Pelodiscus sinensis: one gene and its partners. The protein of the gene in region 1 purifies or fractionates together with the protein of each later gene. This does not show direct contact. Links are inferred from orthologs where the notes say so. Each region holds a gene or a part of one and is shown in the gene's direction. Other genes may lie near its edges. The genes, in order: ARHGDIA, EZR and RHOC.

Region 1 (3,745 bases):
TAGGGCTGCTCCTGTTTGTACTCGTTACTAAACTACTGGTAGTGGCAGTTGGGCCTGGAAACAAGTTACCTTCCAGCTCTTTGGGGAGATGCACTGAAGGAAACCTCAGCTTGTATGTGTGTAAAAGCAAACCTGGCTGATTATGTAGGATACCTCTTCTACCTTCCCAGTAGTGCTCAAAATGGAAAGGAACTAACTGTAGAAATCAAGAGAAAGCAAATCCTACACATGGCCCTTGTGCCAATGCAACCAGGAGCATTTCATTTGCCTACAGGCCCAAAATATAATTGACAAACTATGAGAACTTTTCAAGACTTGCAAGGCTAGAGAGGAGAATTTCTACATCAGTGGGAGGTAGGATCACTGTTCATTATTCCAGAGCAAAAACAAGCAATGAGTTAAGTAGACTTTTCAGTGTGGAAAAGTTGATTGGGATCTGCTGATGGATCTTGGAGCCTCTGACAGGTGATCCTGACTGGTTTGGCCAAGAGGCTATCAAGTGCCAGCACTTCAGTTGCCCCTCTCCCCCCCACTGCTGTGCACCTTCTGCCCTTTGCCTTGGAGCTGTCCCCTCAGGAGCCTCCTGCTTTCTGGGTGCTGATGCCCCACAGAGCAGAGAGGGGGCACAACAGGACTTGGGATGGAGTTTGCTGGCTGTGGGACAATGGAGGGTATTGGGGGGGTTGCAGACCTACGGACAGTAGTGACGGGTCTCGAAGAGGACACGCGCACAGCGGGGGCGCGGCAAGCGGGATCCCAGCCCCATTCAAACACGGCGAGGAGCAGCCCCGGGTCTGCGGGGCAAACGGGACCGCGCAGGACTCGCCGCCCGGGCGGACGCTCCCTCGAGCGGGGGGGGGGGCCGGGCGGGGGCCTGGCTCGGTCCCGTGACAGGCGGCAGCGCAGAGACGGGGGGAGCGATCCCCGCCGCCGCCCAGGGGTCTGTCGGGGCAGGTTCGCTTCCGCTCGCCCTGCAGAGACCGGAAGTCCCCCGCCCCCCGCAGCGGGGACGCTCTAGCTAGGCCTCAATCTCGCTCATCTTCGCCGTCGGTCGCGCGCCCCCTCCGCCCTCTGCCGGCCAATCAGCGTCGCGAGGCCGGCTCGGGAAGTGAGGCATTGGGCGCTGCCCCCTTATAACAGGAAGTGACGCCAGTGCCCCGGAAGTGCGGGAGCGCGCGCGGAGGCGGCTGGGCGGATCCGGGCGGCGTTGTCACAGCGGCGCGAGGAGGCGACCGGGCCGGGTAGGGAGGGGCCGCGGCGCGGGCGGGGGCGGGGCCTGCGGCTCGCGCCCAGCGCCCTTGTCCCGGGCTGCAGGGCCCGGGGGGCAGGGCTGAGCCGGATCTCCCGGGTGCGGCCTGAGGGGGGCCCGTGCAGCCCCTCCCCCCCCCGGGGCCCTGGTAACTGCCCGGCGCTTTCGCGAAGGGCCCCGCCGCGCGGGCCGAGGCTGGTGCAGCGGGGGGGGAGGGGCCCGCTCGGGGCGGCGCTGCCTGTTCTGCGAGGGCCACTTAATAAAGGCGCCGAATGTTCATTTATTTCGCAGGTGACGCCAAGCTGGGGGAGGTGGCGCCCTGGGGGCTGCAGTGCTGGGCCGAGTCCTGCTTGTGCCCCGGGCAGTGGGCGCGAGGCGCCTGATTGACGTGGTCTGGGACTCTGCCCCCCCCCCCCCCCCCGGCGAGCGGCACATGCGTGGCTGCGCCTCCGGGCGAGCACAGTGCCCCTTACCACTAGCTGCCTGGCTAGTGCCCCTCCCTTAACCCAGACCTGCAGGGCAGGGAGAGAGTCCAGAGTGACCTGGACAGAGTAGAGGATTGGGCCAAAAGAAACCCGATGAAGTTCCACAAGGACAAGTGTAGAGTCCTGTGCTTGGGAAGGAAGAATCCCAGCATTGTTACAGGCTAAGCAGCAGGTCTGCAGAAAAGGACCTGGGGTTACAGTGGGTGAGAAGCTGGATAGGAGTCAACAGTGCGCCCTTGTAGCCAAGAAGGCGAATGGCATATTAGGATGCATTAGGAGGAGCATTGCCAGCAGATCTAAAGAAGTGAGTATTCCCCTTTATTCGGCTCTGCTGAGGCCACATCTGGAGTATTGTGTCCAGTTCTGGGCCCCCAAAACTATAGAAAGGATGTGGACGCATTGGAGAGGGTCCAGCGGAGGGCGACCAAAATGATGAGGGGGCTGAAGCACATGACCTACTAGGAGAGACTGAGGGATTTGGGTCTGTTTAGTCTTCAAAAGAGAAGAGTGAGGGGGGATTTGACAGCAGCCTTCAACTTCATGACGGGAGGTTCCAAAGATGCTGGAGAGAGGCTGTTCGCAGTAGTGATGGATGGCAGAAGAAGGAGCAATGGTCTCAAGTTACAGTGGGGGTGGTCTAGGTTGGATATTAGGAAAAACTATTTCACTAGGCGGGTGGTGAAGCACTGGAATGGGTTCCCGAGGGAGGGGGTGGAATCTCCATCCATACAGGTTTTTAAGTCTCAGGTTGACAAGAGCCCTGGCCGGGTTGATTTAGTTGGGATTGGTCCTGCCTTGGGCAGGGGGCTGGACTTGACCTCCTGAGGTCTCTTCCAGCTCAATGATTCATATCTTTGTACTTCCCAACCAGCTAATATAAGGAATGCTTATTCAGCACTTCCTATACTATGCAAAGCTGCAGCAAGAGCTTCCTCAATTTTGTATAGTTAGTTTTTAACAAAGGAAGCTGCCATTTTCAGAGCTGTTAGGAAAGAAGCTGGAAAAACCATGGAAGAGATCGTCAATCATCTCTCTTCCTGCACCTTCAGATGGGGCTTTCACACTCTGTAAGCAGGTACATTAGTTTCCTCAACAACCAGGGGCACGCATTTCAGGCCCTCAGCTTTGAAATGTACTCTCTCTGACATTACAGAAGAAACAGTGGGGCTTAATTTAACTAGCCTAATAAGACAGGAAGGCAGAGCAGGGAAACCTCTTCCAGGTTCCTCATCACCTGAGCAATCCAAAATGAGTGAAAATACACCATTTGAGAGAGAGCACTTAACTCAGGGGTGGGCGAGCTTTTTTGTGTTGGGAATCACTAACCCACAGAAAAATCAGTCTGAGTCCACACACAAATAGGAAGCAGAGGGGAGGAAAAAACTAAATTGTCTCCCTGGGGGGGGGAACCCCACATCTCTCACCTGGCCTCCAAGTGAGGAGGAGGAAAAAAGACCCTCACCTCCAGCCCCATGGAGGGGTGCAGGTGCAGGGGCTCAGTGTTCACCCCAGGCCAGATTAACTCTTCTGGGGACCTGGGGCTGGTTGATTTTGTGGGGTCCCCTTAGGCTCTGGGGTGAGGGCCAAAAATGTGGGGTTCAGGTGTGCAAGAGGGACTGCTGGGGAGTGGCTCAGTCTTTAGAAGAAGGAATTGAGATGATGGGGAGCCACTCCCCCTTCTGGAGGAGGGTCTATTCCTGCCAGAGACAGAAGGCCTGTGCTCCTGGCAGAGATGGAAAGGGTCAACCAGTTAACTGGCATAGGGATGTTACATTTAATCCACTAATTGTCTAGTCAATGGCATTTTCATTGACCAGTCTATTAGTGGGGGAGCTGCGGTGGGGTTAGTTCCTGGGAGCTAACCCTGCTGCAGCTCTGCCTTTTAAATGTATGAAGAGCTGGAAGGCCCTCAACATATTTAAAAGGCCAGTGTACAGTGTGGGGGACCTCACGCGATCCGGGACAGCTGATTCCCAGCTTGTGCCAGGTCCCCCCACTGTGCACCAGCCTT
Region 2 (3,745 bases), on another chromosome or scaffold:
GTGCTGGCCAGCAGCACCCAAGCAGCTCCTCAGGGGGAGGAGAGCAGGACTGAGCAGACTGACTAGCCCCCCTGCCAGCTCATCTTGGGGGGGAAGCGAGGCTGGGCTGCCCAGTGCCCCCACAGTGGCTCCTTGCAGGAGGGGAATGGGATTGGAACTGGGTTGCCTGTTGGCTCCTTGTAGGGGTGGGGCTGGACTGCCCAGCTCCCCTCAGTGGCTTCTCATAGGGGTTGGAGCCAGGCCTACTGGCTGGTGGGATTTCTGAGCCCCTCCCCCCCCATCCGGTGTTATAGCAGAGAGCTGGGCGGGGGGGGGGGCACTTATCTGGGTCAGTGGCTGGCCACTCTCTTCCTGGTGCAGCAATCTCCCTGTGGTCACTCTGCAATATAACTGTCCCCTGTGCTCCCTGCGGTCATGGTGGAGCATAACTGTCCCTCCTCTCAGACCCCTCCCTTTCCATGTTACAGAAAACAATCGAATTCCAAGCACATCCCCATTGTCCTGGCAAAACCAAGCCTTGACTTGCTTTAAGTTAGGATACCAAATTTGGTGGTCCTGACTCTAATCATTTTGGAGGAGTCCTCTCAGATAGATGCACAAAATCTCTAAAATATATAAACAGAGACACTAGTGTGTGAAGTCTCATAACGGATGGTTCGCAGACTTTCCATTAGATAAAGTTTATTGGTAAAAATTAGTGACAGAATAATTAATCACCAATATCACTTCCGCAGAGTTCCATGCATTCTCAAATTTAGCACTACATCCCTGACTATATCAGTGACATTACACATACAAATGAGCTAGCCAAAGCAAGTGTCAGAAAGTTTTCTTAAAGTGTGAAAAAATCTGGCTGCACAGTAATCAAACCACTTCCATCCATGAAAATGTGAAGACTTTCAAAAAGACAACCAAATTCCCCCCTTTTATAGTAAGCATGACACTTTTCAGCCCCAAAGGATAAAGGAGGGTAAAAAACGGAGACAAATATAAGCGCACCTCCAGAAGTGCTTGCAATGCAACTGCTTCCTCCCATTACCTGAAGGGAGAGGAGCACAGCACACGGAGGAAAAGGGCTGGTGGGAAGGAGAATTTTTGTCCAAATCCCAGTAGCCCTAAAACCAAACAAAGCCAAGTCTGGGTAAGTTCCCCAGGCACGTGTGTTGCTTGTCACTGGAGGCTCGTTCCTTTGCTTTGCTTCTTTCCCTTACGCTGGCGCAAAGAACGCGCGTCCCTGGCTGCTCCCTGGCATGCCCCGCGGTGTTTGCCCAGGCTCTCCAGGGGGAAGATGGGCGCCAGGCTGACAAGGCGCCGGGAGGGCGCTCTGCATTCGCGTGTGGACGCGGGGAGCCGGGCTCGGGGCTGTCTACACAGGGGAAGGCGCGGCTCGGGGGAGGCGGGGCCCGCTCGGCCATATTGCAGCAGTGGGAGCGGCGGGGCGGGGTCAGAGGCGCGCACAGGGAGCCCAACCCACCCTCCGGCCGCTGCCAGTCCAGTCCGGTCCCGGGTGTTGCCCAGTCGCCGCAGGGAGACAGCCGGGTAAGGGGTCTCCCAGCCGGAGCCGGGGGAGCACGGGGTGGCGCAGGCAACAGGTGTTGCGGGGCTTAGCGCGCGTCTCCTGCCGCCGCTCGGTCTCCCCGCCTGCCTGGGGCTCCCGGGGCCAGGTGCTGCCTGCAGAGCGGGAGCAGGCGAGCGAGCCCTGCCGGGTCGTGGTGTCTGCGGACCGTAGGCTAGAGCCCGCCTGAGGCTTGGCCGGGCTCCCTCCCGGTCCTTGTTTTAACTTTCAGGGCAAAGGGAGGCAGCTGCTGGGCCCCTCGGGCGGGATTCTTCTGCCTGCCCTCCCCGGGAGTCGGGGCAAGCTGCTTTGTGAGGGAGGGTCTCGGTGCTTCTCTCCGACCTGCTGGCAGGCAGGCGTCGGGGGAGCGGTCCCTGTGTTGCAAACCAAGGGCTGACAATGGTTCCAGTTTCCGCCCCCTCCTCCTTTCCCAGGTTATTAATCTTATACCGCTTAGGAAAGGTGTTGAAATTGTACTTAGGCTTATGGGTGTGTCTGGCCCAATGACCTTCTCTGGTTGCAGATGGATTTTTTTTTCCCCCACTGGGCGAGGTCACTTATGTGGTTTTTTTTTTTAAATAAAATAAAACCAGTGGAGTTCCCTAGTAATTGTGGGTCACGTATGAATCATCTTTGCTGCTCTCCCTCGTTATTTAAGAAACCGAACTGAGATTTTAAGCTTCTTTTACTTTACCTCCTCCTCAGTAAAAGAGAACTTTTTCTACTCACCTGTTACCAGATTTACGAAAAAGAAAAAAGATCTTCAAGCCACTGCATGACCATTTGTTTTTGGAATAACAGAACCGCTTTAAGATCTGAAAATGCCCAAACCGGTGAGTGATACGTTTTATGTCTTGTATCTTGTGGTGTTTAGTATACATTTTTATGTTTTTATATTAGTAACTTACTTTTTTTAGGTGACTATTTCCTTCTAATAATTTTCACAAACCAATCACTCTATAGTATATCTGGTCTCAGTTCTCATCATCAAAGGAAATCTGAGCAGCCCCTTCAAAAGATGAGCCTCGGAGCTTAAATGTGTAACAGTTAGACACTAAAAAGAATGGATGGAATAATTGAGACACTGGTTTATAACCATCTATAGTGCCACTTTCCTCTCAGCTATCTCCCTCTGTCTATTTTTTCCCATGACTAGAGGGGTGCTAATGGTCTCTTTCATCTTGAATGGTCCTGTGAAATAGCTATTAATTATTTTTGCTAAACTGTCTGTTCCACCTTGTAATTAACTGCAACACCCTGAGTGTATTTCCTAGATCCAAAGAAGAGCTCTGTTTAAGCGGAGAAGCTTGAATATCTTACCAACAGAAGTTGATTCAAGAAAATATATTCAAGAAAATATATTACCTCACCTACCTTGTTTTTTTTCTTTCTATGTTTAGAAGGATTATATAAATTAATACATCGTAATTTGAGTCCTCCATGCCAGTTCCAAATTGTTAGAAGAGCAAAGCAGCATGATGAACCCATATATCCATCCAACTTAAAAATCAAATGTTGGGTGGGGGCAGGTGGAAGTGAGGATGTACTTAAATGACACACACACAATGTTATAATTCTAACAATCAGGAATAGAAGTTTGATCCTCCAATTAATTTAAATGTTAAATTATTTGTTTAAACATCTTTAATTTTAAATTTTTATACTAGTATTTATATACCTTAATTCAACTATGCAAAACTCTACTACCCATGAGTAAGTAACTGTTTTCAGTGGGCAAAAATATAATTAATTTTGTTTGTTTATGGTTAACATGGATGAGCAGAAGTTACACCTTAGCTGGTAAATTTTTTGTATTTTTTCAGCATTGCTTTAAAGCTGTGTATATACATGCATTCCTTCATAAAAGAGCTAATATATAGCCTGTGGATTGATAAGTTTCTGAGGCTATGTCTGTTTTTTAGTGACTTACATGTTTTGGCTTTTTTTTTTTTAAAAAAAAATTCATTTGCTATTGAAAATAATCATTCCAAAAGAGAAGAATTATACTTTGTAAAGCATAGAAATGATTCTTTCTAAATGCTGTCAGTATGAAGCCATCAGAACCAAAGAATTTTCTGGTTCCACCACAATTTATATCTGAAAATGGGTTTAGTAATGGACTTAGACTGGGGATGGGAGGCTTGATAAAAATGATACTGTGCTCTTTGGAATGATATTGAAACTAATATG
Region 3 (3,745 bases), on another chromosome or scaffold:
ACTTCACGAGGAGAAAGGGAAGTCGAAGAAGGAGTGCTCTTCCTTTGACTTCCTGCTGTGTAGACCGCGCCAAAAGACAAATTAAGCTATTTCAACTGTGGCTACGCAAGGCATTTAGGACAAGCATTGTCATTGACTAGGGCTTTAGCACAAGGCAGATGTGTCTGGGTGCACTGCGATATAAATGATAAAATATTAGATGGGCAAGATGGGTGTGATATGTTTTACTGGACCACTTCTGTTGGTGAGAGTGGAGCTTTGAGCCACAGGTAGCTCTTCTCCAGCCTCCCAGCTAAATGCAGGGGAGGCGGCCAGAGTGGGCCCCGGGGTGTGAGTGTCTTGGGGAGTTCTTCCTGCAGCCACTGCTCTTTCCTCCCCCTTCCCCTCCCCCTCCCCGGCTTGTGCCCAGTCTCCCAGCTCCCCCCGCCAGCACCCTGTGAGCTCCTCCTCCTCTGTCACCCCCACCCCGTACCCCACCCTGTGCCCCCGCCAGCACCCTGTGAGCCCCCCTCCTCTGTCACTCCCACCCTGTACCCCACCCTGTGCCTCCGCCAGCACCCTGCGAGCCCCCCCTCCTCTGTCACCCCCACCCCGTACCCCACCCTCTGCCCCCGCCAGCACCCTGCGAGCCCCCCTCCTCTGTCACCCCCACCCCATACCCCACCCTCTGCCCCCGCCAGCACCCTGTGAGCCCCCCTCCTCTGTCACCCCCACCCTGTGCCCCCCCTGTGCCCCCGCCAGCACCCTGCGAGCTCCTCCTCCTCTGTCACCCCCACCCTGTACCCCACCCTGTGCCCCCCGTACCCGGCCAGCACCCTGCAAGCCCCCCTTCTCTGTCACCCCCACCCTGTACCCCACCCTGTGCCCCCGCCAGCACCCTGCGAGCCCCCCCTCCTCTGTCACCCCCACCCTGTGCCCCCCCTCTGCCCCCGCCAGCACCCTGCGGGCCCCTCCCCCCTCTGTGACGCCCGCTGCCCGTATCCCCGGGCGGCCCCGCCCCGCAGTACCCGGCGGGGGGGCGGTCCCGGCCGGCCCCGCCCTGCCCGGCTAAGTGCCGCTCGCCGCGGAGCCCGAGCAGCCGGAGCCAGCGCCCCAGGTACCGCGGGGCGGGGCTGTGGGGAGCGGGGGGGGCTCTGTGTGCGGGTACCCGGTGCCTGAGGGGGCTGTGGGGTGAGGGGGGCGCTGGGGCCGGAGGGGTTGCGGGGGGGAGCCGGGCTGGGCTCTGGGAGTTCGGGGTGTGGGGGTGGCAGGGCTGTTCTGGGGGTCACAGGTTGTACAAGCGGGGGGGGGGGCAGCCCTTCTGTCTCCTACTCTTATTGGGGGAGGGGCTCTTACCCCCCTTCTCCCGGGCCGGGAGCCGCCCCCCCCCCCGTGCTGCAGGGGGGCCCAGCTCTGTCTCAGCACAGCCACTGATGCGGGGCAGGTGGGCAGGAGAGGCTGTGCTAGGTGTGCCCGTCCTCCCCTGGAGTGTGTGCTCAGCTGGTGGGGTGGGGAGGGAGACCAGGCAGCTGAGCTGAGCAAACATCCCAGGGAGCCTTTCCCTGGCCAGCTCTTGTTCAGCACAGCTACTTCCCCTGCCTGGGGAGCTGCCGGGGTGCAGAGCAGGAATCTCCGCGTCCCTGTCTGTCTGTAGGTCCAGCACAACCAACAGTCCTGCGGCACCTTAGAGACTAACGGGCGTTTGCTGTGGTGGGTACAATCCACTTGTTAATCAGCCAGTGCCCACTGCTTGGGCTCCCTGGTCGCGCTCAACTGTGGCATGCCCCCAAGCGACAGAAGTTTGCTTGAACTAAGCAGGCTGAAATGGTGGTGGTCTTCCCCATCTCCTCCCCCCCCCCCACACACACACTTGGCTTTTCTGTGTGGGAGCACGCTCCTGGGGTGCATTTTCATGTCCTAGGTGCTGTTTCCTAGTGCTAACAAACAGCATGTCCATCTCCTCGAAGCCTGTGCTCCTTGCTTCCTGTAGGTAGCCTTTAAACATGTGTGTTAGGAGCTTTGTAATGGCTTTGGAGTACAGAAGCATTCCAAAACCATGACTGCGCTGCTTTCTCCAGCCCTAACCGTCTGGCAGCCAAGCCCCTTGAATCCAGCCTTGGCCTCCTGACAACGGGAGCGTAAAACAGTAAGAAGTTGTGAATCAGTTTAGAGTGTGCAGTCTGACTGGGAAACATGTTGTGTGCTGAGACCTCAAGCTGATGGAAACTAAACTGGGTCACAGATAAAGAAAATGTCACCTTTTATGCAAATTGTGAAAAGGTTTAAATTGTGTTACAGGCAATAAACTATTTAAGGGCTTCAGTTATGTGTTCCCACTTATATTCCACTTTCAGTCACGCTTTATTGTCTCTGTGCCAAGTGTCTGCTGGCCTCCCATAATTTTCCTTATAGCTACATGTGAGAGCTAGGGGTTTTAAAGTGGAGTCCTAGATCTAGTAGAAGTTATTTGCTTGCAGAGGTTCTATCAAAATGGAAAAAGCACAGAGTTATGTGACCCACTTCCAAGAGGTTATCAGAAGTTTGTGTAAACAAAACCACATTGTAATCTTCTGTTTGGCATGGAATGCCATGAAATGTAAGGAATGTATTAGACAAATATTGATTGGCCCAACGCGATAGCAGTACAAAACTAAACAGGTAGAAACTGTTCCTGAGGCTGTGATGTATTATTGGGATTTGATATATCACGTACTACACATTCTTATTGAAGAATAAGAAACCTATGCTGCCTTAGAAACCTTAATGTGGAGGGGGAGTTAAGGTCTGTGTTGTTCTCCCCCCTCCCCCTAATTTTTTCCCATCCACGTGCAGATTTTTTCCATCCATATGCGAAATAACTTTTTCTATGTGCACTGGGGCATGTGTGTATGTGCACCACCAGTAGAATCAGAGACCTGGCTGTGGGTGCTCCGCTTATGAGTGGGGGGCATTTGAATCCCTCCTGGGTGACCGCACAAGCACACTGCTTACAAGGATCACTGGTTAAGGTGTCTGTAGACTCTAAAGCGTGGTGGGTTGTAAGAAGGTTTCCTGTAAGACTCCTCTCCTGGAAGACTGAGATGCACTGCAGTGACATCAGCTGGCTCTGGATGTTGAGCAGTTGTTTGCCTCACTTGAAAAGCAATGCCGTGGAACATAAACTTCCACAAGTACAGCTGCCGTCAGCTGAACTCAGACGTGACTTACAGCCACGGAAGTTACGATCTTGCAGCACTTCTCAGAGCAGGGAATAATCCTCGCGTCCTGCCCAGCATCCCTCCCAACACAATGTTATAAACAAACCGTTGTGTGCGTGCCAAGTGTAAAATGGCAGCCAGGTGAGCCAGCAGGAATCCAACGCACTGCTGTGTCACGCATGGGGATGCACAGAGCAGGAAAGGTGGTACTGCATAGAAAGCCAAAATCTGGTCTTTCAGGGTTCCTGCATCACATGAGATCCTGCTCAGCAGGCACCTGATTCCTGGATGCTGCTGAGAATTAATTTATTTTACAAGGAGCTCTTGCTCTGCCATTTGTTTAATGAAGAGCCTTCTAATTGGCAAGCTGCTTCATAAGCACGTCCATACAACAGGTGAAATGCACAGTGGGTGTTGCCTTTGGGGAAAAGACATGAGGGCAAGTCTTGGACCAGGGGACACAAGTCATGCTGACTCCAGATGGAGTCAGAAAAAATGGAAGAAAGAAAGCCGTCTTCAGATCCTAGTAGGGATGTGAGCAGCTAGCTGGTTAATCAGTAAATCTTGCC

The links.
Region 2: the proteins of ARHGDIA (region 1) and EZR purify together in Homo sapiens (co-purification; 3 studies listed by BioGRID and IntAct, with this or other methods). This does not show direct contact. The link is inferred for Pelodiscus sinensis from reciprocal best matches to the Homo sapiens genes ARHGDIA and EZR.
Region 3: the proteins of ARHGDIA (region 1) and RHOC purify together in Homo sapiens (affinity purification with mass spectrometry; 4 studies listed by BioGRID and IntAct, with this or other methods). This does not show direct contact. The link is inferred for Pelodiscus sinensis from reciprocal best matches to the Homo sapiens genes ARHGDIA and RHOC.

Annotation. Positions count from the first base shown.
Region 1 is NC_134730.1:29,724,321-29,728,065, reverse strand, and holds the start of ARHGDIA (rho GDP-dissociation inhibitor 1), read left to right. Parts: upstream 1-1,084; 5' UTR 1,085-1,241; intron 1,242-3,745. UniProt on the Homo sapiens protein: Controls Rho proteins homeostasis. Regulates the GDP/GTP exchange reaction of the Rho proteins by inhibiting the dissociation of GDP from them, and the subsequent binding of GTP to them.
Region 2 is NC_134713.1:112,895,065-112,898,809, reverse strand, and holds the start of EZR (ezrin), read left to right. Parts: upstream 1-1,382; 5' UTR 1,383-1,539; intron 1,540-2,260; exon of another isoform or gene 2,261-2,294; 5' UTR 2,295-2,376; coding exon 2,377-2,388; intron 2,389-3,745. UniProt on the Homo sapiens protein: Probably involved in connections of major cytoskeletal structures to the plasma membrane. In epithelial cells, required for the formation of microvilli and membrane ruffles on the apical pole. Along with PLEKHG6, required for normal macropinocytosis.
Region 3 is NC_134737.1:2,011,097-2,014,841, forward strand, and holds the start of RHOC (rho-related GTP-binding protein RhoC), read left to right. Parts: upstream 1-1,020; 5' UTR 1,021-1,096; intron 1,097-3,745. UniProt on the Homo sapiens protein: Regulates a signal transduction pathway linking plasma membrane receptors to the assembly of focal adhesions and actin stress fibers.